Linked DNA regions of Medicago truncatula. The protein of the gene in region 1 interacts with the protein of each later gene in a pairwise test. Links are inferred from orthologs where the notes say so. Each region holds a gene or a part of one and is shown in the gene's direction. Other genes may lie near its edges.

What was found.
Region 2: the proteins of two-component response regulator-like APRR9 (region 1) and adagio protein 3 interact in a two-hybrid assay, tested with the Arabidopsis thaliana proteins (2 studies listed by BioGRID). The link is inferred for Medicago truncatula from reciprocal best matches to the Arabidopsis thaliana genes PRR5 and FKF1.
Region 3: the proteins of two-component response regulator-like APRR9 (region 1) and transcription factor TCP2 interact in a two-hybrid assay, tested with the Arabidopsis thaliana proteins (2 studies listed by BioGRID). The link is inferred for Medicago truncatula from reciprocal best matches to the Arabidopsis thaliana genes PRR5 and TCP2.

What each region holds. Positions count from the first base shown.
Region 1 is NC_053044.1:45,865,970-45,876,588, forward strand, and holds the start of two-component response regulator-like APRR9, read left to right. Parts: upstream 1-6,587; 5' UTR 6,588-6,724; coding exon 6,725-6,968; intron 6,969-7,912; coding exon 7,913-8,074; intron 8,075-8,170; coding exon 8,171-8,301; intron 8,302-8,414; coding exon 8,415-8,745; intron 8,746-8,831; coding exon 8,832-9,204; intron 9,205-9,411; coding exon 9,412-10,120; intron 10,121-10,222; coding exon 10,223-10,330; 3' UTR 10,331-10,619. Other genes in the region: transcription elongation factor SPT4 homolog 2, read left to right, coding at 2,937-2,998, 3,629-3,679. UniProt on the Arabidopsis thaliana protein: Transcriptional repressor of CCA1 and LHY, thereby controlling photoperiodic flowering response. Involved in the positive and negative feedback loops of the circadian clock. With RVE8, forms a negative feedback loop of the circadian clock.
Region 2 is NC_053049.1:48,668,674-48,679,346, reverse strand, and holds adagio protein 3, read left to right. Parts: upstream 1-6,698; 5' UTR 6,699-6,779; coding exon 6,780-7,075; intron 7,076-7,753; coding exon 7,754-9,365; 3' UTR 9,366-9,709; downstream 9,710-10,673. Other genes in the region: transcription factor SPT20 homolog, read right to left, coding at 1-1,165, 1,718-1,794, 2,058-2,441, 2,545-2,694, 2,785-2,899. UniProt on the Arabidopsis thaliana protein: Component of an E3 ubiquitin ligase complex that plays a central role in blue light-dependent circadian cycles.
Region 3 is NC_053049.1:38,107,541-38,117,485, reverse strand, and holds the start of transcription factor TCP2, read left to right. Parts: upstream 1-4,914; 5' UTR 4,915-5,463; intron 5,464-5,559; exon of another isoform or gene 5,560-5,826; intron 5,827-6,347; 5' UTR 6,348-6,673; coding exon 6,674-8,152; 3' UTR 8,153-8,186; intron 8,187-9,945. UniProt on the Arabidopsis thaliana protein: Plays a pivotal role in the control of morphogenesis of shoot organs by negatively regulating the expression of boundary-specific genes such as CUC genes, probably through the induction of miRNA (e.g. miR164). Participates in ovule development.

The sequences.
Region 1 (10,619 bases):
AATGTTGTGCTACCAATTCCATGTTTTCCATTCATAGTAGTTATTTAACAAAATTAATTTTATATTTTTTTAAATCAATTGTTTGGGTTGCTTATGAGATACCAAAAACCTCATAAATTAACACCACAAGAGTAGAGAACATACTATTAACCTAAACATTAAATAATACTTAATTTTTGTCAATAACAATTACAAATTTCATTATTAAATTTCGTATTCTTCCTCCTTCCAGGCCCTTACTCGATCTTTTAGCCAAAATGTAGAAACTACAAAACATTACCATAACTCCAACACATGTAATCCATAACTTTGATTGTGGTTGAGTTGCAATTTGATATCCATAGTAGATGCACTACTTTAGAAGCAGATACGAATGGGAGACAGCATTATGTGGAATGCCGTTGTACGAATTGGCAATCACAAAGTCATTATTCAAAAACATTCTACATATCGTTGTCTCTCATTCACGTCTACTATGGATACCAAATTGCAACTCAACCACAACCAAATTTATGGATTACATGTGTTGAGTTGTGGTAATGCCTTGCAGTTTCAACCTTTTGGTTAAAGGGTTCAAGTAAGGTCCTAGAAAGAGGAATGCAAGATTTAATTATGAAATTTATTTGTAACTAACAAAAATTAAGTTACGTGGAATGTTTAAGTGAGTAGAATGTTCTTTAACTCCTTTTAAACACCATGAGTGTAAACAACATACTATTCACCTAAACATTGAATAATACTTATATATGGTAATAAGTTTCATAATTAAATTTTGCACTCTTCCTCCTTCTTGGACCTTACTTGACCATTTAACTAAAAGGTAGAAACTACAAAACATTAACTTTGATTGTGGTTGAGTTGCAATTTGATATCCTTATAAGAAGCATATATGAGAAACAACATTATGTCGAATGCCGTTGAACGAATTGGTAATCACAAAGTGATTATTCAAAAGCATTCCACTTACTGCTGTCTCGCATTCACATCTTCTTGTTATGGTGCATATACTATGAGTATCAAATTGCAACTCAACCACAACCAAATCAATGTATTACATGTGTTGAGTTATGGTAATGCTTTGCAGTTTCAACCTTTTGGTTAAAGGGTTCAAGTAAGGTCCTAGAAAGAGGAATACAAAATTTAATTATGAAATTTATTCTAGCTGACGAAGATTAAAGTACTGTTTAATGTTTAGGTGAATAGTACGTTATATACTCTCGTGGTGTTAATTTATGAGATTTCTGATACTCATAAGCAATTCATTCAAGATCGTATTCAAAGCTTGGTCACGCTAGTTATACTTTTTAATTTTCTTTTAAAGTCTGGTCTGCCACCCACTACACTAGACACACGTGGTGGCTTTGTCACTATAAGGCTCTGATCTGTCACCCTCTGAAGTTTCGTCGCCGAAGAAGTTCCCACTCGCCATAACAATCCGTCAGACTTTTCGGCACGTATTGGCCACTTGCCGTCGTAAATCGTTTTGATCAAGAAGCTGTCGGTTCAGGTCATCTCGTGGGCGCCTCTTCAACCTGTTTTCGAGGTCGTTTGTCTGATGCAGAGTCTTTATCAATTCTATCCAGCAAACCCTTGCTCTTCACTCATTGTCTGAAGCTACCGTCTCTGTTTTTCTATTCGTGCACCCTTGCAGTCTTAAGATCCTCTGGTTTTTAAGTCCAGTAATTTTCCATATTATTCTCATCGTTCTTGATGGCAGAAATCTCTAGTACTTATTATGGTATTAGAGCTATCCTAGATCATTAGTATATAGACTGACACCCCTCACCTTACAAGCCAGTTTTGTAAGCTCTGCCCAAATTCTAACATGAAATCACATTCAAAGATTTTGCCAATAATGTCTAATAAGGAAGGAGTATATAAACATTTAGTGGTTGTATCTGACAAACTCCTTAAACATGTCTATACATTCAAAGGAAAAAAAAAGCATAAACAATATAAAAGCATATCATTTGAAAGCTTCATGCTTGGCTGTTTACATTTTCCCTCCATTTCCTGTTGTAAGACATTTTCAAAAACACCCTGTGAGTGCACATTTTGAGTATCAAATTAAATCCAAATCAAATGAACTTACATACAATCTCACAATTAGCACTAAAATGAGAAGAAAAAGACTAAAGAGTTAGTCATTCGCCGTCAATCTCACAATTTCATCATTTCAGGAAAGTTGAGATGAGAATGTGGAGACAGCGATTTGTTCATATGTTAAGACAAGGATAGAGTACATGCCATCTAAGCCCGGCTACAATAAAGCTCACACAATGTCTACAGCTGCAGAAAATCACAAAGTCACAATTGAAATCTATATAGAAATAAAGAGTCACAGTCAAAATCATAAACCTTAGTTGCTGTTAAGATTTTCCATTTACAGTCAAGAACCCCATTTTCTTAGTCTGTTTTGAAGAAGAGGCTACGTTTTAGATGTAGGTTATACAATGTTTTGATTATGGAAGATGGGCACTGAGCAGAGGAGTGAGAGATGGGCGGAGAGCAAAGAGATGGATAGAAGAGGAATGTGATATAAATTGTACCAGTTAAATTTGAATTTTGAAAAAAAAAAACGAGCAAGTGAGAAGCTTTTCCTTTTTTGTTATAAAGAATGGTGCCAGAGAAAGAGATTGGGGTTGATTCAAAACATGTAAATTAGTACCTCTGAATTAAAAACTGGTGATGTAATTTAGTGAGTGGCACCTGGAGAGAATTTTCATTTGTGTGAGCTAAATGTGTATATTATTATAGAGATAGAGAAATTGTTGTGGTGTTTTTTTCATTTGAAGTTTATCTTCTTTGTTTATTTTTTTCTTTCAACTGTGAAGTGCCGTTTAATTTTTCTTTTTTAGAATCTCTATCTAGATTGAAGTTTGAAATCTTGCACACAACTGAGATGTGGAAATTAAAGTTTTTCTTATATGTTGCAGGAAAATTTGTTCCTGGTGTTTACACTCTTGCTGTCTCAGAGGCTCTTCCAGACGATATGCAGGTTTGTATTTTTCTATTTGTGTAATATAGATTCAGCATACATTACTATTATTTTTGATAAGGGACTTTGTTTTTGTTATTACATAGTTGTCTCTTTTCAAGTATAAGATTGTGCACCTCTTTTTTTATGCCACTCTCTCAAAAACCATAATTTAACTTTAAGTATTTTTTTTTGGGGATTTCCCCCTAGGCTGTGCTTTTATCCATTAATTTACCTGGTCGGATATAAAATAGTTGGCAGTTTATTCTTTGTCTTTTGCAAAGGTGTTAAAAATTTAGGGAAGCTCTAAACACACAGGATGTGTTATGTGAAACACCGTTGCCTTCTGAGTTGAGATTTTCATTAAATGCTCAAGTGGTTATAATGTTTGGCCATGGCAACTAAGATTAGGTTATTTTTGCAATCAGTTGTTTGTTCTATTATGAAGTATGAAGAAGTCAGTGTTGCTCAACTTGTATAACAAAATAAAAGTTTTGCTCACATTTGTGCAAAGCTGCCTGATACACAAAAAACATTTTTTTTTGCCTTTCTCTTGTATCAGCCTATCGAACAGTTTACACTGAATTACTGTTGTATGTTGAACTTTGTTTATTTATTTATTTATTTATTTTCTTATATGCCCATTTTCAGGCTATTTGTGAGGATAAGCATGTGCCATATACACTTCCCAAACGTTCGTGAAACAAGTAAATATAGGCCTTGTGACATCTCTAACATGGTTGGAATCGAGTACGTATTGATGTGGACTTTAGTGCTAGTTATGTTTGAATGCATTATTGAAATGCGTTGTTAAAATTATCTAAACAGAAGTTAGTTAGTGTGTACGTGAGAAGAGCTCATGAAACTAAATGTAATATAGGCTTCCTTTTGACTGATATGTTGTTGGCCAAAGTAATTTATCAAACTACTATCATGCAAGCGAATTACCAATTTGCGTTCTTTTGGTCATGCTGGAAATTTTCACTTTGGTTTATACTCCATCCGTCCCTATATGTAAGCACCCTTTGCCTCTAATAAAAGGGTTTTTAGATATAGGGACGGAGGGAGTACATGATAGCACCGACAAGTTTTTTTATTTTTATTTTACATCAATTACGATACTAGCAGTGAGTTTGAACTCATAATCATAATATTTCTTATGTATTAATGTATCCGTTCCTATATGTAAGCATCCTTTGCCTCTAATAAAAGGGTTATTAGATATAGGGACAGAGGGAGTACATGATAGCACCGGCAAGTTTTTTTATTTTTATTTTACATCAATTACGAGAGTTTGAACTCATAATCATAATATTTCTTATGTATTAATGTCAATGGTGCAAGTGGTGTCACCGTTCTCGTCCCAGTTTCTTGTTCGAAATTTTTAATCAATAATTTGTTTCTATCATATTGAAATGGTTTGAGAAAATAAAACAGAACAATAGGTGTGAAACATGGCATCATATCAATTGAAAAAATGTTGTCACATACATGACAAAAAAAAGTAATTATGATGTGTACAAATCTATTTTACAAGGGATTATTAGCATTAACACGAAGTTCGGGTCTATGTAATCCATTTGTATACTGAGAGATCGCCTCCCTTAGGGCCGGTTTGGATTTAGCTTATTTTGTGTTTATGAAAAATGATTTATGTAAATAATTAAGTTTTTATTTTAATTTATAAGCTCTTACTAACGAGAATTTTATCTTCATAAACTGTTTTTTTTTTTCACAAAATACCTTAACAAACTTGTAAATAATATATAAAAGCTTATTTTTGTATAAGCTGTTTTGTATAAGCTCAAAATAAGCTTATCCAAACAGGCTCCTCGCTGCTTAACTAAAGCATTTTATATATATGCTAGTCAACTACTCATTTGAGTTTTTTTCCACCTGTATCGAGCATCTTTTTTATGGTATCCATAAATTGATGCTGTCACAAAAATATGTATGAGTCTCTGAACAGATTAACCTGATGAAACTTCATACAAGATGTACCAATTGTGCTCATTTGAGTACTCAATTTATTTCAATTTGAATCTGAATTAAATCAAATGGCCGGTTCTCAATTTGAACTTATTTGATCACCGAATCTTCTTTTAAGCTTTTGTAGTCAATTATACGTTTCAATCATCTCAGACAATTCTTGCAAACTCCACATTACTATTATAATTGAAAGGAGTGGCACTTGTATATAAAAAAGCCTTTACTAACTGTTGATGAACTTCTTATTTGAGATCCTTTACCATCATTTGATACATTGTTTTTTAAACCTCAACAAATCAACTAACTTTTCCCTTTGATAGTATCCATTTCCATTTCCATTTCCATCTCTCAACTAACATAACATAAAAACTTGCTTTCGTTTGAAAAGTATCCATTTCCATCTCTTGGGTTTCCTCAGCATGTTTCTCATTGTTTTTCAATTGTTTTTTTTTTTCCTTTCACACATGCTTCTATAATTTTGGCAACAATCTTAAATATTTAACTTCGTTTGGGACAAAAGCATAAGAAAATTTTGAGTTAAGTTCGATTTCCAATAACATTATTTATTGGGAAAAAATAAATTACAACTTTTTAAAAGATAAATAGACACAATTTCTAAAATGAAATTTTCACTTCAAATTTCTTATCATGAGTTTTTTTGTTGGATGATCTGATGACTAAAAAATAAATGAGTCTAACATTCAAATTCTGACCCTTCCATACATACATAGGTAATGTTAATCGGTGCCTCCGACACACTGGTTAAGAAGTGAAATGTAGTAAGTATTGCATTGGAACTTGCGTTGTCAAGTTTTCAAAAACATAAAAAATGTTATTTTTATCTTAAAACTTACTTTTTTCGGTTTCCTTAACCCGGACACTGGTTAACATGACTTTACGTATATTATGCATTGTCTTTATCAAGTATGTGATATATGACGAGAATTAATAACACATGTTATCACTTCTTTTACTATTTTGCAAGTCAAATTTTGATAGATGATATATATTGACCTATAAAAGAGCGAGTAGCCAACATCTGCCCGCAGCATGTGATTTGTGAAGACATAGATAGAGTTCGACGACTTCAAAGCCACAAAACAAGACATCCTCAACTAAATTGCCACGTGTATCACTATTGTCCATGGGATTCTTGGACAGCCTCAAAGCACTCAAAAATATCTTCATTTTTTTGGATTAAAAAAATTAATATCTTTCTCCAAATGGGTCCATGTGCATTCCGAATTGTCCCTCATACAAAAATATCCCCTTGATATTTTCCATTTGGACACAACTTGGAATTCAAGAGAAAGTTATAACCAAACAATTAAAGCACAAAAATAGTTTGAATAAATTGAATAAATGAGTGATTGAAATGATATCCACCACTAATACAGCAGCACCAACCACGGGTTTATTTCTTTATAGATCTAGTTGATGACGTGGACCATGTGGGCCAGTGTCTGCATGGTTTCTAGATATTTTGTGCTAAAAGAATATATTTTATAACCGTTGGATTAGAACCTTGTTACCTTTGGTGTCACAATCTGTACCATTAGATCAAACTCTATTACCTTAAAAAATCTTGTACAATATCCATATATATACAATATATTGCTTTTTTTCTTTCTTCTTACTTTCTTTTATTTTTCACCTTCCAAATTGGATATTTTTGTTGTGTGCTAAGGTTTTGTTTTCTTGAACAAAGATTCTGATGCTATACGCTGATTCTTGTCTTTGGATCCAATAAACAACAACATGGGTGAGGTTGTAATGAGTGGTGAGAAAATAGTGAGAGTGGAAGAAGAAGAAGAGAAGGTGAGGGAAGAAGAAGGGAGCGGAGGAACTGAGAGTAGAGGTGCTGGTGGTGGTGGTGAAATGAAAGGGCTTATGAGGTGGGAGAAATTCTTGCCAAAAATGGTTTTGAGGGTGCTTTTGGTTGAAGCTGATGATTGTACAAGACAGATTATAACAGCACTTCTTAGAAAATGCAACTATAAAGGTACTATTTCTATTATTATTATTATTATTTTATTGTACAAGCTGATGTTTTTGTAATATTGTTTTGTGTTTAATTGGTTATTTAATTTTCTGTAAGTATTCTCAATTTTCAATTTTTCTTGTGTGCAAATTCATATTTTTTTAGTGTAAACTTTGATTTAATTAATTGTGAATATTGGGTTATATTGAGGCTGAGTTGTTGTTAATTAAGAGTATATATTTGACACATGACAAAAACAGGGGGAAAAAGCTTACTAGTAATTATAAATTTAGAAGTTTTTGGACTGCAAATTTTGGAAAGGATCAAGGCTCAAGGGTGTACTGATAGATTTGTAGATTTTGCTGATTTAATAAATAAAGATAAAAATTAAGGGGATGGAAAACAAAATTTGTGTGCACTAATTAATTGAAGACATTTTGTTTTTAATATGGTTTGATAAATTTTAACTCATGAGAAAAAATGTAAAAAATCATGTAGATTTTTTTACAGAGAAGTGACATGGATTTTTTTTTTGGCTTTTGCACCGGTTTCCGACCCACTGGTGAGCGACTAATCCGGCTCATGCGTAGAGGCATGGGCACTTGCCAAGCGTTGTTCCCCCCGGGAATCGAACCCGGTATTCCCCGGATACGTCCTTGGAAGGAGCTCCTTGCCATTGGAGCCCAAGCAACTTGGTTTAAAGTGACATGGATTTTGTTAGCTGAAAATCTTAGGAATTTATGGCACCTTGAAATAGAGTCTTATAGCAGTATGGAAATTACTAGGCTAAGCCATAAACTTGGTACAATTATTCAATTTATTTTCAATTTTTATCTGCCATTATGATTTTATATTATTGAGTTTTTTTATCTTGGTTGTGTTGTAATTTGAAAAACAAAATTAGTGTACTTGAAAGTAAATCTAAGCTCTAGAACTTCAAAATAACTTTGATCTGTTTTGAGCAGTTGCTGCTGTTGCTGATGGCTTGAAGGCATGGGAAATACTCAAAGGAAGACCGCGCAGTATTGATCTAATACTTACAGAAGTCGATTTGCCAGCCATATCCGGCTATGCACTTCTCACATTAATTATGGAGCATGATATTTGCAAAAGCATCCCTGTCATAAGTATGATATTAAAGATAAATTTTCTTTCTGCTTGTCAATTTTTTTCCTTATTAATACTTATATTAATTGTTTTGTATTTTTTTCATGCTTTTCCAGTGATGTCGTCGCAAGATTCAGTTAGCACAGTATACAAATGCATGTTGAGAGGTGCAGCTGACTATCTTGTTAAGCCAATTCGAATAAATGAACTAAGGAATTTGTGGCAACATGTTTGGAGAAGACAAACAGTAGGACTTCTGCTCTCTCAATTTTCAGTTCGTTTTCAGTTTTTCCCTAAAATACTAAGAATTTATTAACAAAATTGGTTGAACTTATGTTTATTATTTGTTTACTCTATCAGCAGTCAGCCGCAACCGCTGGCATAAATGGCCCTCAAGATGAAAGTGATACACAACAGAAGTTTGAAGCCACTGCTGAAAACAACGCTGCTAGTAATCGTTCTGGTGGTGATGCTGCTTGCATTCAAAGGAATAAGGACTTAATTGAGAAAGGAAGTGACGCACAGAGCTCTTGTACAAGGCCAAACATGGAAGCTGAGAGTGGCCTGGTTGATAACATGCATGAATTTTCTCAGCTGAAATGTGCGGAAGCATATCCAAGTGAAATAAAGACACGAGAACTTGACATTCATTTAGGCCAGGCTGTGATCGCGCAGGACAGTCACGCCGGAGGTAAATTTCTTTCTTTCACAGCAATATCATTTTGTTCGACTCACAAGGAAGAACTATCTAAAATTTGAACAAACTTTTATTTTTAGGATTAAGCGTGGCTAACTGCAATAATGGAGTGGCAAGCACAAATAACTGTAAAAATGGAGAGACAGGTGCAAATAATTGCAAGGACGGAGATGATCAAGAGCATTTTAGGAATGCTAGCATCAGTGGTGAGGTTCATGACAATCACTATGTTCAAATTTACTCTACTACTAAGGAAGCTATTGACTTGATTGGAGCATTTCGTACTGATCCGAATTGCAGTCTCAAAAATTCATCAATTGATTGCACAGGCAAGTTTGACCATTCTCCACAGTTGGATCTTTCTCTCAGAAGCTCTCATCCCAGCAACTTTGAGAAGGATCTCACCGAAGAAAGGCACACCCTTATGCATTCTAATGCTTCAGCTTTCAAGCGGTAATTGCTAAATCCCTTTTTATTCTAATTTTTTCCTTTCCGTGTAGTTAAAAATTGTTGTAATCTTAGTGATGAGTCTGAAGAACTTCAGAACATTATAAGGATGAAGATAGAAAGTGTATGAATTTTGTACTTGTGGTCTCTATGACTTCTCCACTCTGTTGAATTCTGCATGCTTATCACTGAAACGGTGTTCCATTCATGCAGGTATACTAATAGGCAATTGCAAGCATCACCTGCCGTAGTAATTAACTTCTCTGATCAACCAAGAGAACAAAAAACAAATAATGAGAACCATAACTCAGATAGTTCAATACCAAGTATGCAAAAAGAATCTGAACTTGCAACTTCACATTCCCAGCAAAGGCATTCTCTCCCAATTCCTGTGAAAGGTGTAAGGTTCAATGATCTTTGTATGGCCTATGGTTCAACACTTCCACCAGGGTTTCGTACACAATCAGGTCCACCATCAATGCCCGGTTCAGTTGTGTTTCTCGAACAAAACTTTCAAGCAGATGCATTTTATCAGTCAAATGTTAAACAAAATAATTCAGAGCAGCTTTACGAACCTCGCGGTCCAAATGGAAACAGTACTCCAAACCAAATTATGTATACACAGGAACACAAGTCAGAACATCCAGAGGATCAAAGACTTATCTCCCCTACAACTGATCAAAGTGTATCCAGTAGTTTTTGTAATAATGGAAATGCCAGCAATTTTAACAGCATTGGTTATGGAAGTAATTGTGGAAGTAGTGGCAATGTTGAACAAGTTGCCACTTTCAGAACAGCAGCAGTTTCAGAGGGAAAGAATGAAGAACTCACAAACAGTGGATATTCACATCGAGCTATGCTACGAGAAGCAGCTCTAAACAAGTTCCGTTTGAAACGAAAAGAGAGATGTTATGAGAAGAAGGTATATCAATATCAACATCAATATGAGCTTGTAATTATACAAGTAAGATCAATGATCATCATTGTTTTCATATTATGCTAACTTATTTATACTTTTTAACAGGTTCGATATGAGAGCAGAAAGAAACTAGCAGAGCAGCGTCCTCGAGTTAAAGGACAATTTGTTCGCCAACCGAATCCTGATTCTCTTTCTGGAGAAAAAGATTGCTAAGAATACTGATTATTACATTAGCAGATATGTGACTTAGTGGAGAGGATAGTGTGCTTTGTTAGCATTAGTTGCTTCAAAATTTTGTTTCCTTGACTTCTTAAGTACCAAAACCACTTGATCTGTATATGCTGTGTAAAACCATTTTTCTTTTTTTGCCTTTCCTCTAGATCCTGATATATATTTAATAATAACCTGATATACAGTTGTAATTTTATATAGTTTTATAGAGATTGTCGTGTCTCATTATTTAATTTTTTTTTTAAGGATTTGTGTACTTATTAGGTCTCGC
Region 2 (10,673 bases), on another chromosome or scaffold:
CAACAACCACCCTTCCTAGCTCTTGAGTCTGAGGACCAGCCACCACCATTCCTAGCTCTTGAGGTTGAGCTTGAGGACCCGCCACCACCCTTCCTAGCTTTTGAGGCTGAGCATGTGGAGCAGCCATCACCCTTCCTAGCTTTTGAGGTTGATCCTGTGGAGCAGCAACCATCCTTCCTAGCTCTTGAGCATGAGGACCAGCTACCACCCTTCCTAGCTCTTGAGGTTGAGCCTGAGGAGCAATCACCACCCTTCCTAGCTCTTGATCTTGAGGACCAGCTACCACCCTTTCTAGCTCTTGAGGTTGAGCCTGAGGACCAGCCACCACCCTTCCTAGCTTTTGAGGCTGAGCATGTGGAGCAGCCATCACCCTTCCTAGCTTTTGAGGTTGATCCTGTGGAGCAGCAACCATCCTTCCTAGCTCTTGAGCATGAGGACCAGCTACCACCCTTCCTAGCTCTTGAGGTTGAGCCTGAGGAGCAATCACCACCCTTCCTAGCTCTTGATCTTGAGGACCAGCTACCACCCTTTCTAGCTCTTGAGGTTGAGCCTGAGGACCAGCCACCACCCTTCCTAGCTCTTGATCTTGAGGACCAGCTACCACCCTTTCTAGCTCTTGAACCTGAGGACCAATCTCCACTTGCATTGTAGCTTCACCGAAATCTGTTATAGTATTATTCACTTCCACGATGTTGTCCACACTCGATACACCATCATTAACTGCATTATTCATATGAGGAACATGCATTGGTGATTGTTGTTGATTATTAATATCTTCTTCCTGCTGAAGCATTGCATTACTATTATTCGCTGTCAAGCTTCCAAGACCAACTGCGTGATCAGCTATATAATATTCACTTGGAAGTTGTTGCTCCCATGTTGCATATCCATGATGTAGGTTCATGTTGGGTTGTTGAGGAAAATGCCTTGGTAACAATTTTCTGGGAACTTGTTGAGAACTGCAAGCATATGCCATTGGATATTGTTGTTCTGCAACATGAGAATTGTGAGACCACTGTGATGATTCTAATACAACAGCATGAGCAGAAGCATCATAAGCTTGAAAATAAAGTTTTGGAGATCTATCATGTGAACTGTTGGATTCCACAACCAGGAGAGCTTGCTCATGTTCTTGTTGATGTTTATTTAAATATAATCTATATTTCTGCAAATCAAAATATATAACAATATAAATTACAGTTTCAAAATGCTAGTGTTAGTGTACATTAAATAATTCCCTAAAAAAAGTGTACAATTTATTGTCTTGGTTTAATTAATGGTATGGAAACAAGATTGATATCTATGTTTAATTTCATGCAAGACAAGCTTCTGCTTGGTTAAGTATTAGGGCATTTAATTTGAATGACTGAGAAAACTTTATAACTGAACAAATCAAAAAATCAAAATTTTGAGTTAGCTCCTTTTCAGGGTAAACTGGTAATATATATCCGAATGAAAGTTAAAGACTAATAATCCATAAAATATATTGAGATTCCTATAAAAGATTAATAATATGTCACAAACATATGTTTTCTATATACCCGTCAAATTTTCCAAACCATAAATAATTTTTTTTTTTGAAGGACCAAACCATAAATAATCAAATTTTTAGTTTACAATTATAAATCCTTTATTTATTCATTTTTGACAAACAAAAAAAGTTTTAATTTCAAAGAACGGATTTATCACAAATTTTATGGGTTAAAACGGAAATTACCTGAAGATGACTGCCTACCTGCTCCCTTGTAAGTCCAGGCACCTTCATATGTTCAAGAATTGTTTTTGGCACCGCCTCTGAAAGAAAAAAATAAACAAAGAGAAAGAGTGAGAGAGAAAAAAATTGTTATGACAAGTTGCAAAAATATAAATTGAACTTTATTTCCAAAAACAAATTTTACACTGTCATCTAGTATAATCATCTCTTCAAATCACTCCACTACATGTCACTTTAATGATATGACATGCATCAATAGTTGATTCATATTAGATGTTAGAGTAAACTACGAATAAATTGATTAAACTTTTGATAAAAACAAGAATAGGTAAAGAATGCGTACTGGAACTGGAACTGGAACTGGAAGCATCAAGTTCTTTAACAGCCTTCATGAATTGCTCATGTAATTCTAAAGACCATACCACACGCTCCTTCTTCGTCTTCTTCGTCTTCTTTCTCTTCTTTGTCTTCTTTGTCGGGGGTGGTTCGGGTATATCTTCGTCATTTAAGCATAAATTTGAATCATCTCTTGCCCTTATTTGGCTACCTTCAACCCCCAATTGCTCATTGATTTTTTGTTTTTTATTTCCTTTCATCATTTTCCTAACAGCATGATGCCACATATACTTTACTTGATTTTCAGAGAATGGCTTGACCCAACAGTCACAAGCTCCATTTTCAATTGCATTCAATATTCCAGTTGTTGATCCTTCAGAACACATCGTCACTGCACATATATGTAACATAAATAAATTATATAATGTCTCATCTCATGTAAGTATAAATTAATCATGTGATATGATAATATAATTAATTGTATATTTACTTACTAATGACAGGAATATCGATTTGTTGTGTCAATTGTTGCAAGAAATCAAATGAATCCATGTCGGGCATTTGAGTTTCAAGTAGTACCAAATCAAAATGCACCTTTTGTGCTATCAAATTCATGGCTGAAGAAACCGTCCAGCATGTCGTAACTGAAACAAAGAACACAAAGATTGAGACTTTCATAGGTTAACATAATTCAATTAAGAATCAAACAAGGTACCATATATTAATTTACAAACCTTGGTAATTGAATTGAGACAATTTTTTCTCAATAGCATTGAGAAGATGGATATCATGATCAATCACAAGAACTTTAACATTGGCTGGAAACACATTCCCAAAGGAAAAAGTCATTGCAAAAGAAAAGAATAGTTGTTTGTGAAGTGAAAGAGTGAGCAAGAAATCAAACACTATCACTCTTGATTTGATGATTCAAGTAAGGTGGTTTTAGCATATATATAGTCCAGTGAATTTCCATCTCTTGATTTGCAATGAGAGAGAAAGAGAAAAAAGGGAAAAGATGCATTTAAAGGTGGAGATTAAAACTGGAGAGAATCATGTGAAAACCTCACTGGAGGAGATCCATAGATGAAATCCAAAAACTGTAGTTGGATCCAATCGACTAAGTCAGCTGTATAGAACCTGTATTTTGTAAATTCAATGACACAAACCAGAATTTAGTCATAGAGTTGAATGTAATTTTTTTTTTATGGTAGAGCTTTAATATTTAAAATCTTATAAAATTAATTATTATTGTATTTTTCTAAATAAATAACAATTATAATAAGAAATAAGAAATACTACCAATTTTACTTAATTGGTCAAAGCGACTTTTCACAAATAAATAAATAAATAAAAGATATTTGGAAAAAATAACACAGTAAAAGGATAATAGGTATATTAGGAAATGAAGCAATAAATTATTTTGAATCAATGAATTTTATTATTTTTTTGTGATATTTTGATTCAATGAATTGACTAAGATTGGTTTTCAATATTGACCGATTGATTTTTTTTTTTTGAATAAATATATTGACCGATTGATTTTAAAATCAATATATAAATCTTGTTTAAATATAATATGAGATTAACAAAACGATGTATAAATCTTGTTTAAATATTCAATGAATTTTATTATTTATTTTGTGATATTTTGATTCAATGAATTGACTAAGATTGGTTTTCAACATTGACCGATTGATTTAAAATCAATATATAAATTTTGTTTAAATATAATATGAGATTAACCAAACAATTTTGTCCTTAACTCAAGTGGTTAATGAGTTCCTCCAAAGCATGAAGGGTTCGTCAAAATCTGAGTTTGATTCTTGCTGGAACAATGATCATGTCATGCTTACCTCACGGCCGAACGATAGATCATCATGAATCCTTAATTTTAATAATTTTGCAGTGGCTCCTCTTTGAGGTCTCAGGTTCGATTCTCTTTGATGTCAATTTGGATGGACTAGTTTATCTTCTTCAAAAACAAAGTTGCAGTGGTTTCTTAATTTTAATAATTTTGTAATCTTTATAAAAAAAAAAAAAAAAATACATGCATTTATAATACTGCTGAAACCAAATTTATTTAATTATTTTTAAACTCTAAGTTTTTGAACAATTTTTTAAATATTTGTTTATAATATTATAAAAATTTCTCAGCAAAAGTTCAAAATTTAATTTCAGTGTTGGTGTATTTGTTACTTTTAAATTGAGCTTTTGTCATTTAAAAAACTCATATACTGTTGAAACCAAATTTATTTAATTATTCTTAAACTATTAAATATTGAGCTTTTAACATTTTAAAAAACTCATATAATGCTGAAACCAAATTTATTTAATTATTCTTAAACTCTTAAGTTTTAGAACAACATTTTGAATATTTGTTTATAATATTATAAAAAGTTTTTCAATAAAAGTTCAAAATTAAATTTCTATGTCGAGGTATTTGTTACTTGTAAAAGAATTGTTATAAGTTTTTGAATAATTATAGATATGTATGTTTTCTTTAAAGAGTTAATGGTCTGATTATGTATTTATATATATTGCTTATTTGTTTCTTTGCAAATTTGTAGAATTTTAAAAAGCGAACAACCTTATAAAATGTATAACCTAATATGTGTAGATCAAACAAAGACTTACATGAAATTTATTTCAGATATGTTGTTGAAGGATTTCAAATCATTTATGTGATTGTTATTATTTTTAATAATGAATTTCTACACAAATAACTTACTAAACATTTTTTTCAAATTGAACTCATGACAATAATTTTATTCACCACAATTTTTAACAATATAACATTTTACATATAACTCTATCGTGCAAAGCAGGGATCCAGTTAAAATAAAATCAAACATCCCTTTAGCTCCAATATTCAGTTGTGTGGATTACAGACCATATATAAAATTTGCTTAACTGTAATGATTCTGAACACAAGTTATATCAACTAATATCAATGTCGTATAAAAAAGGTGAACAAATATAAGAAATTAGGGATTGTAAGAAAACAATTCTTAGCGATTAAACCTAAAACACATTGAAAGAAATTAGGAATCAAACGTCACGAAAGCATACAAATCAGTAATGATGAAAATAAAATAGATTTAATAGGAAGTTTCTAGTATAAAAAGTTAATATTTCATTTAACCTAATCTAACCTTTTAAAAATCCTAAACAAACATAACATTTTTTTAGAGTGTATTCTTAAAAAGCTCATGCATTTATCCCACTTCCATATTTATAGATGCAAGCCTATCAAGAATATTCGTATAGTTACGTACTCCACATAGAGTATAAATCTCATTAAAAGTTTATACTCATCATCCTCTCGTCGTGTCGAGAATCATGTATCTTTTAGTTTATAATAGCAGGATCGTTTAATATTGGTTCACACTTTGTTTTTAACCATTAAATCTAATTCTTAAGATCTCTAATCGTTTAAGTTGAGTTACCATCTCGACTTTCTATCTTGCTAAAACTTTTGTCAAATGATCAACTAAATTTTTATCGGTACATGTACATGATCTCCTCTAAAATCTCCTTTTGAGAGGAACTCTCTTACATTTACCATCATGATAAATGTAGAAACTAATAGATGGTTTGTCGATCATCCATGATCAATCACATATAAAATGAGAGGTTCAAATACCTACCTATACTATATAAAATCCATGATCATCATATCTACAGACTATAGGGAACCTAATCACATGCTTATAAATAGGCAAATTTTATGGTACATTCAATATATTTGAGTGTATTGATATACTCACTCTTTAAATTAATAGTTAAATGAATTGTTTTTTTTTTTGAAGAAAACTATTATTTTTTATCATTTATAATTATAATAACTAAATCATATTCATCAAAAGTGTCAACGAAATAAAATTAATTTTCTTTTGAATTTTTATCACTCATAGTTGAGAACTTGATTATTTTTTATGATAATATGTAAAAGCATAATAAATCAAATTTTGTTGAATTTAAGATTTGAATGTTGGTCCAAAAGGATTTAAAACCTTAAAATTTGATCAACTAAACTAGATAATATTGATCATTAGTATGTCATATTATATATTTATAATTAAATTGATTTATTTTAAAAAAAAAATTAACCGAAAATTTTGAGGCCTAAAACTCTCACTTAGATGGATTTGAAGCATGGTGGTTTGATACTTATCATATTTTGATATGACTATACACACATTATATTTTGATATGATATGATATTTTACCAAAAAAAAACGTGACCATCGAAGGAAGAAATCAAATGGAAGTGATGAAACCACGACACCCCTTGTAACTAAAAACTAAAAAAGACATGTGAATTTCCCGCTAAGTCACACAAAAATATCTTGTCTTGGTCTCAAAAAAATAAAAATAAAAATATCTTACCTTACCTTTCCATTCCATTCCTATGACGTGGTGAGAAAGAATTCAGTCACAGATATTTTCCTATCATATCAAAAATATCTCTGCTGCTTACCATGTGTTACACCATGTTGACTCTTTTCTTATTCCAATTCACCCCTCACTTTCTTTAAAACTACAAAAATGCCACTACCTCCACAAACACAAACCCTTCAGTAGTTTATTCTTTTTAGAAGGTTATTTCCGTCCATAAAACTCAAACATTCTTTCTTATTACATACTCCTAGCTTTGTGTTTGTCAGAAAAAACAGAACAAGTTTGTTTCGTTCTGACAATAGATAGATAGAGAGAGAGAGAGAGAAACATGGCTATGGCAAGAGATAAAAAAGAAGATGAAGAAGAGGTTCATAATCAAAATCAAAAGGTTGGGAAGAGATTGAAATGCATGAACATGATGAAGAATGAACAAGAAGAAAATCAAGTAGTTGATGAAGAAGAAAGTGAGCTTCCATTAAAACCAGAACTTTTCTTCTACCCAACAACACCAACATCTTTTGTTGTATCAGATGCACTTGAATCAGATTTTCCAATCATTTATGTCAACAAAGTCTTTGAAATCTCAACTGGGTATCGTGCTCATGAAGCCCTTGGTCGTAACTGGTAAGATTTTTTTCATTTCTTGCATCATAATTTTGTTGGGGTTTATCTTTTTTGTTGATTTAAGGTTGGGATTTTATGTAAATTTTATAAATTTACTTCATTTAATTATGATCCACTTTCCTTAAACTAAAAATAAACCCTTTTATCAAACGGTGAAAATGATTCCATTCCTTTCAGATCTATACTATGTTGAGATTTTATAGTGCCAATTTTGTTTCATTTTGCAAACCCCATTTTTATGGAATCCATTCTTTCTAATTTTGATTCCCCTAGCTTCCTTCTTATTGGATAATAAATAAATTTTATTTTTATAAATTTCTATTTATCAAATTTTATTTTTGTGATTTCACAATTTGAAGTTTATTTTCCATTCTCTTAATTTAACTTTTTGACAACATGGTTACTTGGTAAACATTGTGATGTGCTTAGTACTTTCCATAATAATTAAGGTTCCATCAATTGATTGTGCTTGTGAATTAACTACTTGTGAAAAAGATTTTGTTCTGAATGTATTGATCAAAGATGTGACTCATAGAATCAATGATAGGGAATTGTCCTTTTTGGTTATATTTGATATTTTCATTCCTTTTTTACAAGATATTTCTTTTAGATATTTTGATTTGGTTCACTTTTGACAAAATATACCTCTAATTGCTTTAGAATTTCTTTTGTTTCCAGCCGGTTCTTACAATATAGGGATCCTAGAGCTCAGAGACGGCATCCTTTGGTGGATCCAGTCGTTGTGTCTGAGATTAGAAGATGTCTTGAAGAAGGTATTGAGTTCCAAGGTGAACTTTTGAATTTCAGAAAGGATGGTACTCCCTTAGTCAACAGACTTAGGCTTACGCCAATTCATGATGATGATGGAGTCGTGACACACATAATAGGTATCCAAATCTTTTCCGAGGCAAACATAGACTTGAACCGCGTTTCTTATCCAGTTTTCAGAGAGACTTGCATTCAAGATTTTGATAAAAATGCTAAATATTCTCCCAAAAGTGGGAAATTATTGTACACTCCGCAGAAGCGCGAAGAGATGTGTGGCATTCTTCAGCTTTCTGATGAAGTCTTGGCGCACAACATATTGTCACGCTTGACACCGAGGGATGTTGCATCGATCGGTTCTGTTTGCAGGAGGATCCGTCAATTAACAAAGAACGAGCACGTTAGGAAGATGGTTTGTCAAAATGCATGGGGCAAAGAAGTGACAGGTACATTGGAACTGATGACCAAGAAGTTAGGTTGGGGTCGTCTGACTCGGGAGCTTACTACTCTTGAGGCTGTTTGCTGGAAAAAAGTTACAGTTGGAGGCGGGGTTGAGCCTTCACGCTGCAATTTCAGTGCTTGTGCTGCAGGAAATAGGCTTGTATTATTTGGAGGTGAAGGAGTGGATATGCAGCCTATGGATGATACTTTTGTTCTAAATCTTGATGCTAAGAATCCAGAATGGCAAAGGGTTAGTGTGATATCATCCCCGCCCGGCCGATGGGGCCACACACTCTCTTGCTTAAACAGTTCTTGGCTAGTTGTTTTTGGTGGATGTGGTAGGCAAGGATTGCTCAATGATGTGTTTGTGCTTGATTTGGATGCTCAACAGCCAACATGGAAGGAAGTTTTCGGTGAAGCACCGCCTCTTCCGAGATCTTGGCACAGCTCATGCACAATTGAAGGCTCTAAATTGGTTGTCTCGGGCGGCTGCACAGATGCTGGAGTACTTCTTAGTGACACATATTTACTTGACCTCACAATAGATAATCCTACATGGAGAGAAATTCCAACTTCATGGACTCCTCCTTCTAGGTTAGGGCACTCACTCTCAGTTTATGGTAGGACAAAGATTCTCATGTTTGGTGGACTTGCAAAGAGCGGACACTTAAGGTTAAGATCAGGTGAGGCTTATACAATAGATTTAGAAGCTGAACAACCACAATGGAGGCAACTAGAATGTAGTGCATTCACAGGTTTATCAAATCAAAATGCTGTTGTACCTCCTCCTAGACTAGATCATGTTGCCGTAAGCATGCCTTGTGGGAGGGTTATTATATTTGGAGGTTCCATTGCAGGTCTTCATTCACCGTCTCAACTATTTCTATTGGACCCTGCCGAAGAGAAACCGACGTGGAGGATCCTCAATGTTCCGGGGGAACCACCTAAATTTGCTTGGGGTCATAGCACTTGTGTGGTTGGAGGGACTAGGGTTTTGGTGTTGGGTGGACATACCGGGGAGGAATGGGTACTAAATGAGTTGCATGAGTTATGCTTGGCAAGTCGACAAGACTCTGACATGTGATGAGTGATCGCTTATGAAAATCAACTGAACCGGATCCTCTACAGACAGTCTATCCGAATCTCAGTTGTTGGATTAAGCTGCAACTCGGATCAAACGGTCGAGATTTGGCTGAATTGGCTGCAGAGAAGAGGATCTAGTCTGAAATCAAACCATATCTCTTCTCTCAAGACAAGTTTTTGGTTACAAAAGAAAAGTTTACTTTCGGTTTACTTAGTAGTTTGGTTTTGTTTATAAACTATATTGTATGTCTGTTATATGCCATTTGTATTATGAGTATATTTACCACGGTTTATGTTTGTATGTGGCTCTAGGAAACCTCTCTCTATATCAGTTATATTGTATCATCTCTCCTTTTACAATTATTTCTTATGAAAATTCTTTTATTGATTTAAAAAAAATTCATAATATATAGACTTTTTACACGAATAATCCTAGAATCAGTGACAATGTAAAACTGTTTACACTTTACATTATTGAAAGTAATTTAACTTTTTCTTTTTGAAGAAAAAAGTAATCTAACTTGAATACACTCTTAAATGCATTAACAACGAAAAACAAAGGTTAAGCTTGAAGAAAAGGACAGATAGAGACAAATAAAAAATCAAGAAAATACTCTATCTATCTCATTAAAAGGGTTGTTTAACAAGTGATATTACTCGGATTGTTAATAAATTTTATCTAAAAGAATTGTCCCAGAGAACCTGAATTTGATTTTTTTAATGGAGCAATATTTGGTCGCATCAATAAAAAACATGAACGTCGTTTAAATGTCACACTTTTTAAGATTAGAAATTAATGTATCAAAAGATTAAGGGGGAAATGGAAGTGTTGAAAGTGCTGGAAGTTGTTATGAATATTGTCGAAAAAAAATTGTAGACTGGAAGTAGTCAAGTGAACTATCCATTTTTGAGGAAAATGAACTGTTTAATTAAATACTAAGTGTTTATATTATAGACATATTTTATACATTTTATTAACGTGAAGACCATCATCTTTAGTAAAATATTCCCTCAACATTTTTTCATCCACAAGCATCAACCGTGAGACTCTATTTAAAGGAATCCAAGTTCAATTTTAAGAGTAATGTAATTTTTTATGATAAAGTAGACTAATGTAATATTTGTAGCGTTTATTACATTATTTTTTTTAATATTACATTAGGTTTTATGAAGAAATATTGGACAACTATTAGGTTTTCACGACAAACTTTGAAGCTTTTACTTCAAGCTTATTCTCATATAGCAGATAATAAAATATTGAGTTAAAATGGTTAGCTCTTCTGAAAGAATCAACTTAATAATAATAATA
Region 3 (9,945 bases), on another chromosome or scaffold:
AGTGGTTGTTCTAGCCTCGATGTAGACGGTCCCCCTAACTCCTCTCATAATCCAACACTAGAGCCAACTATTTTATAGTTTTATTACACACCATAACCTATTCTCTGAAGGACATTCATAAGATAATTACCTACCTAATAGCATTTAATTATATAATGCTTATCGAAAGAAAAAAAATATATATTTTTCTTATAATGTGCTTGTATAAACAAGACATTCATGTTTAAAATAACGATGAGTTTGTCAAAATCCCGATATATACACTACTATAACTTTGACAAAACATACATAATTTTAACAAAATTACGTGGTCAATACTATTTCGTCAATCTCACCAACAATTCAAAATATTTACTCAAATGGTGACATGTGGTTAATGAAAGGCTCGGTATCATTTTTTAACAAAATCTTATACGCGGAAAGCCGGAAATACAACCCCTTATTTGAACAATGGACCAAATTTATAATAAGAGGGGACCGTAACATGTAACATGAAAAATTTATGATAACTTAACTTTTTTTTTTTGAAGAAATCATGATAACTTAACTGTTAACACCTCAAATGTGTCCAATATATATGTACGTACATATGTGGGTAGTGGGTAGAGTTCTCTCACAATAGCAGTTATTTACAATCATAATAGTAAATGGTTAAATTAAATTGAATAGAAGTAGAATGGATAACAAATTCATATAACTTGTTTCACGTAGTAGTATAAATTTTTTTGTAAAAAATTAGAAAGATAAGAAAAAAGAAGTAATGGTCTGTTTGATTCGCTTTCCAAAAACAGTTTTTTATTTTTTAAAATTCAAAAATTTGAAAAGTTGTTTGATAAACTTTTTTTAAAAACTGTTTTAGAAATTGTTGTTTTTAAAACTGAAAACCGAAAACTAGTATATGCCGTTTTGCTTTTCAGTTCTCCAATTCTCATTTCTTTTCAAAATAGAAAAATACGGAAAAGTGATTAATTTTCATTAATGGCAATCTAGTAAATAAAAAAATAATTTTTATAACATTTAAAACTAATATAAACCAAACAGCTTTTTCTGTGTTTTTTTATTTTTAAAAAGAGTTGTTAAAAATTGATTTTCAAAATAGTATTTAAAAACTAAAAACTAAAACATAATCAAACAGGCCCCTAAGGTCTTCAATTTTTTCGTCTCAAATATTTATAAACAAACATTGGATTGGAAGTCTAGAAAATATCAGTGTCATTTGTATTTGATGGACTGAAATCAACTAGTCCACAAATTACATGAATCAATTTCAAAATAAACAGTGATATAAATTAAAACCAAACCGTGCCTAATTTTTTGTTAGAAGTCGTGATTCTAATGGCCGTTTGGGGAAAGGTTTGACTCCTTTGAGATCTATTAATGTAGTTTGGGCAGAATTATGGACTTTTTTATCAAAAAAAAAAAGAATTATGGACTTCTCCGTTGAATATAACTCTCTCCGTGTTTTATTATATTTTAGGCTTAAATGCACTTTTAATCCCAAGGGTGTAACAGTTTGGTTTGAATTGGTTTTCAATCAAAAAAATGTCTGTACCGATGAAATCTTCATCGATTCGGATTGGTTCGGTTTTCACTGTTTCAAAAAGGAATCGAACCAAACTAATCAGTTTGGTTCAGTTCGGTTGATCGGTTTGTTTAATAATACAATTAAAAAGAAATTCATATTCTCACAAAAATATTTCATAGAACTTTGTATAATTGTATTTCATATTTTGTTTTTCATGTTTTCTATTTTTCAAACAACTTTTCATAACTAACCTTAATCAATATTTCATACATATGAATCAAAATTCATTCACCCATCATTCTTCAAAAACAACTTCATCAAACTTAAATATTTCAATCATCCATGATACATACATGCATCATTCATCGACAAACACAAAAATTCCAAAAAGCACATCCTAAAATTTAAACATAGTCAAAATAACAAATCAATGGCATAAACATGATAAAAACTAACCAAGAGATAAACGATTGCAGCGGTGGCCGATGGTGATGAACAATTGATTTGGTGTGATTGATGGCTAGGGTTTATTTTTTAGTAGAAATGAAAAAGAGTCTGACTGATGAGATGAGATGAAGATAACGATGAGAGAAAGTGAATGAATTAAAAAGTATTTTATGTTGGACTTTAATTTTGGGATTAATCATAAGTTTGTGTGAGGTAGGATAATATGGCAAATTCTATGGTACACCCAATAAATTTGGGTGTATCGGTACACCAAGTCGTAAAATTAATAATAAATTAGTTGTTTTTTTGAAGAAAAATAATTATTTTCTATCATTGACAACTAAGAGAATTAAATTTTATTTACCAAAAGCTTCGACGAAATAAAATTTAATTTTTAAGAATTTTTATTACTCATAACAATGAATATTGATTATTTTTTATGACAAAATGTAAATTTTTTAATATGATCCTTATAAACAATGAAATGATGATTTTTCTTATGAAATGATGTTTTATAAAATATAAATATTGACAAATACCTTTTTATTTCATTAAATTGATCGTTAATTTATATATTTTGTGAAACAAGAGTACCGGTACACTCAAAATTGTGAGTGTACCATAGAAGTTCCCGGATAATATTAGTAAAATAAGGAGTGGGGTTATCATCGGATTGATTCATTGGTTTCACGGATCTCGAAATGAAAAATCACGAACTAAACCAAACTAGAAAGGTTTTGATTGGTTCGGATCGGTTTCAAACCGAACCAAACAAGGTCGGATATTTTTTCGATTTGGTTCGGTTTGGACTTTCGGTTTCGTTGGTTTAGTCCGAACCGCTTACACCCAATAAATCCCCTTATTTTAACTTAATCGGAATTCTAGTCCCCCTACTTTTAAAACCACTATTTCTGTCCTCCTATTTTATATTTTTTGGGTTTTTTCAAGTCCCCTAACAATTTTAGAGATTTCTCATTCCCATTAACGATGTGGCAGTGACATGACATGAGTGTGTTGGCTTATTCATTTTTCATGTCATTAATTGAAATAGTTGATTGTATACATATTAAAAATTAATTGATTAATTATTAAAAAATGAATTAATTAAATTATAAAAAGGAAGAGAATTAGATTGGGGAACCATGAACCCTAATTTCTAAAACTCTCCATCTTCATCCATCCTAATTTTCTATCCCTTGTGTTTTTAGAGAAGATAATTATTGTGCAAATCTTCTTCATAATATGAGGTACTCCTCTTCTTTTTATAGAGTTATCCTCGATCATAGTTTTCCTAATTTATTTTTGTTATTTTTGATAATGTTATGGAGTTATCATGGATCATAGTGGAAAAAAAAAATCCTCGATCATAGTTTTCCTAATTTATTCTTGTTATTTTCGATGATGTTATGGAGTTAACCTCGATCAAAGCGAGAGAAAAAATCCTCGTTTGTAGTTTTTATGGAGTTATCCTCGATAATAGTTTTCCTAATTGATTCTTGTTATTTTTTATGACGTTATGGAGTTATCCTCGATCATAGTGAAAAAAATCCTCGATCGTAATTTTTATGGAGTTATCCCCAGATCATAGTTTTCTTAATTTATTCTCGTTATTTTCGATGATGTTATGGAGTTACCCTCGATCATAGTGAGAAAAAAGAATCATCAATAGTAGTTGTTATGGAATTAGCCTCGATCATAGTTTTCTTAACTTATTCTTGTTAATTTTGATGATGTTAGGGGTGTTTGTTTAACACTCTTGACTTTTAAGTTGTGTCCACACTTTTTAATTAAAATTAAACAATATATATAAATGTTAGGAACACTTTCATTATAGCATTCTCTTTAACACTCACTCTCTTGTTGGATGAAATCGATGTCGATCTCATCACTTTATGTGAGATCTATTTTCAATATGTGCTACTCCACATGGATTATACCTAATAAGAGAGTTGGCGTAAGAGAGAGTGTAAGTAAGAGAGGGTTCATAACTCTCTCTCCATTTATATATATATATATATATATATATATATATATATATATATATATATATATATATATATATATATATTCATGCTATTGGATGGCAAGTTATGTGCTTAGGGTGAGGAGATGTGCTTTAGTTTGAGGTAAAATAAAGGCTAAATTGCATTTTTGGCCCTTTAACTATTTAGATAGTATCACTTTGGTCCCTTAATTAAAATTCAATTTATTTTGATCCCTTAACTTCTCTTCGTTACACATTTTGGTCCTTTCTGTTAGTTTTAATTCAAAAACGTTAGGTTTTCTTTATTTTCTTCTGGAATTTTTCTAGGATTTTTGTTGTTGAAGCTTGACAGAGATGATATGAAGAAGAAAAAGAGGAGAAGAAGATGAAGAAAACCTAACTTTTTTGAATAAAACTAACGGAAATGACCAAAATGTATAACAAATAGAAGTTAAAGGACCAAAATAAATCGAATTTTAATTAAGGGACCAAAGCGATACTACTTAAATAGTTAAGGGACCAAAAATGCAATTTAGCCTAAAATAAACTGTAACGACATTTACAAATGTATTTACATAAGTTATGTGCTTAGTGTGAGGAGATATGCTTTAGTACGAGTTAAAAAAAAACTTCAGCCTCAACGACATTTATAAATGTATTTACATTTATTTTTCTCCAAATCACGAAACTCAAACCCGTGATTTTCGAGTCCAAGATTCGTCGTACCACTAGATGTTCGCGAAATTCACATTGGATTTTGACATAGTTTGTGTATTATAAGTTGCATCTACATTAAAGGGTGTGACAACATACCATTGAATGCAAGTGTAAAATAATTTTATTTTCACTATATATACAAATTAAATTATTTTCCTTGATATATTTATTAATTTGGTTTTTATAAAGTTTGTTATATAATAATAATTGATTGATTGTACTATCTATAGATAGATAAGGTATTGAAGTAAATATAAGAGAAAGGAGGGACAAATATTAAGGAGAGGAGGTTACAAACAGCACCGTGTCTGGTCTTTTCCGATAAGCTCGTTCATTGTTCCAATGGCGAGGACAATCAACTTCAACTTCAACTACAATCCTTCTCCTTCTTAATAACTCTTTTACTTGTTTCTCTCTACCTGTCACAAATCACACAATTCTTGGTTTTTTTTTCTTTCTTCATTTTCTTTCTATTTCTCACCCACCAAACTACCAGCCCTAGAACAAACATTTTTGTTTTGTGTTGTGTACATCACTTTCTTTCTCTCTCTAAGCATAGTTTACATGTTCAAGAAACAAAAAAAAAATCTGTAAGCTGTAATCAAACTCAAAAAAATATGTTAAGTTGATTTGAGGTATTGTGTTGAAGTTTCAAAGAAAGAGACAACAAAAACAAAAAGAAAAAACAATAATTTTATGATCTTATTTTGCATTTCAAGGTACCATTTTACACACTCAAACAAGGAAAGACCATCTCAACAATTCATGAAAATCAGCAGCAAAGAATAAGGTCTTATCTCATATTTTTGTCTTTAATTCACTTCCTACGTACCTATCACATGAAGCCACTTTCATCTTTTTCTTTGATTTTTGTAACAATGAAGCTTCTTGTGAATTTTATATTGATGGGTTCTTTTGTTGGCTTAGTGGGGTATTACTTGATCTGAAAAAAATAATAATAACAAATATTGGAACATCTCATTTTAAGATTTTGTATTTTGTTTCAATGGAAGCACAAGTGCACAGATCTGTGAGCTGTTTGAGTTTAAGGGACACTGCAGTTGTTGAGTAATCAACAACAACTGGGTTTCTTTTCTGTCTTTTGTTAACATCTCAACACCTGTCACAAAACTCCGACCAAACATTGTTCTTAGTAATGACCTACCCTTCAACATTTTTTTAATCATTTTATTTATTTGAGCAATAGTGTTTCATTAAAAAAAAAAATGTTAATTTGTAGCTGTATTATAGTTTGCTTTCTAATGTATATGCTATGCTATAAATACTATACTAGCAGAAGCTATAAAAGGGTTTGGCTTAGATCGGATACCCTTATGCAAATTTTGCTGCTTTTTTAGCTTAAAAACAAAGCTGAATGGTTCAGATCCATGGTACATATATATGTAGGGCTCTACAAGGTTTTTAGCTTTTCATAAAATATATAGGTTTTTTGAGGCTCTATGCTATGCTATGCTATGAGCTACTAATCAGATCTTATATGATGTGTACTGTTAAAGAAAGAATGTAGACAATACATTACACAGTGTATTTTAATTTTGTTTTGAAAATTTAATGCAATTTAATTTTGAGTATTTTTTTAATGATGATAGAAAGTAATTATTTTGAGTTGGTTTGCTTAAGCCTTAATGGTGTGGTTGGTTTTGAGTTTTGCAGGAAGAGAAGAGGTTTTGCTTTTGAAAGGGTTTTGTTCTGCAAAACTGCATAAAGCTAAAGAAGGGCCTCCTGACTTGGACCGTGATATATCAGAGAGTAAAAAAGGCCTTTTTATCACTACACAGCCAAAACAGTCTCTGAATTTTCATCATCATCAATGCAAAGGACATATACCTAGCTAACCCCACACACAAACACACACTCTCTCTCTCTCTCTCTCTCTCTCTGCACTGCACAACCAGAGAGAAATTTAAGTTAAGATTGAGATAAATAATAAAGTGAAGTTAGACCAAGTTGGTTTGTTTTTGCAAAGGCATGATTGTGGTATGGAGGAGGATGAGATTCAAGCCCAACATAAATTCCCAAGAGTTGAAAATGAGGAAGAAAATCATGGAAGAGATATCATTAGAAGAGGTGGAGGAGGATGTGATGGAAGTGCAAATCTTAACAGGTTCAATAATTGGCATCATTCTTCAAGAATTATAAGGGTTTCAAGAGCTTCTGGTGGAAAAGATAGGCATAGTAAAGTAATGACTTCAAAGGGTTTAAGAGATAGAAGGGTTAGGCTTTCTGTTACAACAGCTATTCAGTTTTATGATCTTCAAGATAGACTTGGTTATGACCAACCAAGTAAAGCTGTTGAATGGTTGATAAAATCAGCTTCTGATGCTATTTCAGAACTACCTTCACTCAACAACTCATTATTCTCTGGTGATACACCTAATAATAATAATAATAATAATAATAATAATAATAATAGTAATAATCAGCCAAGTGAACAAGGTGTTGATTCAGTTCATGATTCTGAAATGGTTGTTGAGAATGGTGAAAACAATTATCAAAGTCAGAATCTTTCTTTGTCTAAATCTGGTTGTAGTAGCACTTCTGAGACAAGTAAAGGTTCTGGTTTGTCTCTTTCAAGATCTGATGTTCGTGTGAGCCGTGTCAAAGCTAGAGAAAGAGCAAGAGAAAGAACTGCTAAGGAGAAGGACAAAGAGATTAATCATGAATCTCACAATACTCATCAACAGCATCACAACAATGTGACCTCTTCCATTTCTCAAACAGCTTCATTCACTGAACTACTTACTTGTGGAATCAACAATACTGTTACTACCACAAATAGTCCAAGAGGGTCAGCTGAAGAACCTAGTTTTTTCAACAAAGCTAGACAGCAACAGCAGCAGCAGCAGCAATGGAATTCTTCAGCACCAATGGATCATTACTTTAGTCAAGTATTTCCAGGATCTTCATCATCAAGGGCACATCATCATCATCATCTATTAGGACATTCACTTCATGATCATCAATCAATGACAATGTCTAATTCAGTTTCACCATTCAGTACTAGTGGTGAGAATCATTCTCAAGATCAGCATCAGCATCATTTGCAGCATCCATTTTCATTCATACCAGATCATATGATGCAAAATGTGGTTACTTCTTCTTCTACTCAACCAAGCGGGAACAACAATGATTATAATCTGAATTTCACAATCTCTTCGGGCCTTGCTGGTTATAATAGGGGGACCCTTCAGTCCAATTCACCGTCTCTTTTGTCTCATCTTCAAAGGTTTGCAGTTTCACCTTTAGATGGATCCAACAATCTACCTTTTTTCATGGGAGGAGGTGGAGGAGGTGCTTCTGCTTCTTCTTCTCCTGCTTCAGCTTCACCTTCAGCTGCTCCTACAATGGAGAATAATCATCATCACCATCACCAGATTCAACACCATCTGATTTCATCTGTTTTTGATGGTAGCAGCTTGCAGCTCTATTCAGATCAGAAAGGGAAACCCAAAAACTGAAGAGTTTCACTTTTCCTCCATTTTCTTCTAGCAGGTACGTCATAAAAACAATTTTTCTCTCTTTATTATTACTTGTCATTTCTTAATTTTTAGCCTAATTTTTTTTTGTTGATGTATACTTGTGAAATATTCGTTTTAGTCTTGTTTACAAGAGAAAATCGTGTCAATTACAGTTGTTGTATTTGGTTCAGAATTTAAACTAAATACATCAACTTCTGTTGATCTAACTTTCTCTTATAAACCGGAAGAAGAACTGGTACTAGATGATTTGTTTTTCTAGTAATGTTATTGTTTGACCACATTGCATTGTTTTTTGTTGGTTTGATTTCTTCCCCAATGTACATGCCTTGCCTTTGGTAAACCATGAAGTGACATTATTAAATATTTTGAATTTTACAATTATAATTGTGCTTGTCTTGATTTGAATATTTTTGGATGTACTATAGTACTGTTTATTTTGTGCAATACCATAACAAAGAGTGAATGGTTTGTTGTATCTAGGTAATGAATGATAAATAAAAGACAAGTTGGGGATTGGTCATAAAATTATGTATTTAGTGATGTCTTTTTGTTTGATTTTGATTTTGATTTTGATTTGATTCCATTTGATTCATTCATCCTTCTGCTGCATGGGTTGCCGTGAATAGGGATGTATCGGCTGGTTGTCTCCTTATTTGTGCTCTTATTGGTTCCCTCCTAAATAGCATGTCAGCTTTTATTATTTTGTGTGACATAAATACATAACCATGTGTTACTCACTCACTAGGGTAATGTTAATTAAACTGACTTTAATTTGGGCCAAAATGAATGTCTAAATTTACTTTACAATCCCAATTTGTTATTTATTTTCCCGCTTGTTTGTTTATAACCTCTGTGCACCCACATGACATGACCCTGAATTGCTTATTAATTGTCAGGTTCTGTAAGCTAGGGAAAAATAGTGTGAGCCTAGTTATTAGGCTATAGCTAGGAGTACCATACATGGATGGGTCATGGCCATGGGGTTGGTTTGGTTAGGGGATTTTTCACTATGTTTGAAAGGTCCATGCACGTAGTAAAACATACATTTCACTACTGACACTCACGCATGGAGAGAAACAGTCTCTCAAACTAGCCAGCTAGCCCATTTAATAATTGAAAGCGATACTATTGTATTTATTTTACATAGTAGGAGTAACATTTTTTGTTATGATGACTTCAATAAATTTTTTGTTTTATAGTGACTTGTGTTTATATGGTATAAGTTACATGTAAATACATTTTGAGATTATTATATAGAGATTTTTTCTAAGCACGAAAAACTTTTTATGTATGTGTCCTATCAAAGCATATATTCAAATAGGTATTTATATGAATGCATGTGTGAAAAAAAATTACAATGTCAGTAGATACAAATTAAATTCTATTTTAAAAAAAAAAGTGGCATCATGATTGGTTTCAAAATTTGAAAATTGTAACAAAAGTAATGAAATATATTAATTATTTTTTTTCTTTTGTATTACAATTATGAGATGAATAATTAATAGAAAGATATTTTTCCATTTAATTATTTATGCACAGCAGGATTTAATAAATTCAGAATGCAAAATTTAAACTTCTTTATTTGGGGGCATTTAGGTTTGTAACTTGGTTCTCTTGAGAAGCCAGTATTGGGAAAGGTAAAAAAATTACATTTTTTATTGCATGGGAAGGAGTTAGCAACTAGAAATGAGATTTTCTTTGAACCATGTTGATGGCATTGTATTTTATAAAAAAAAATATATATAATTAAAATAAAAATGGGAACCTTGGGA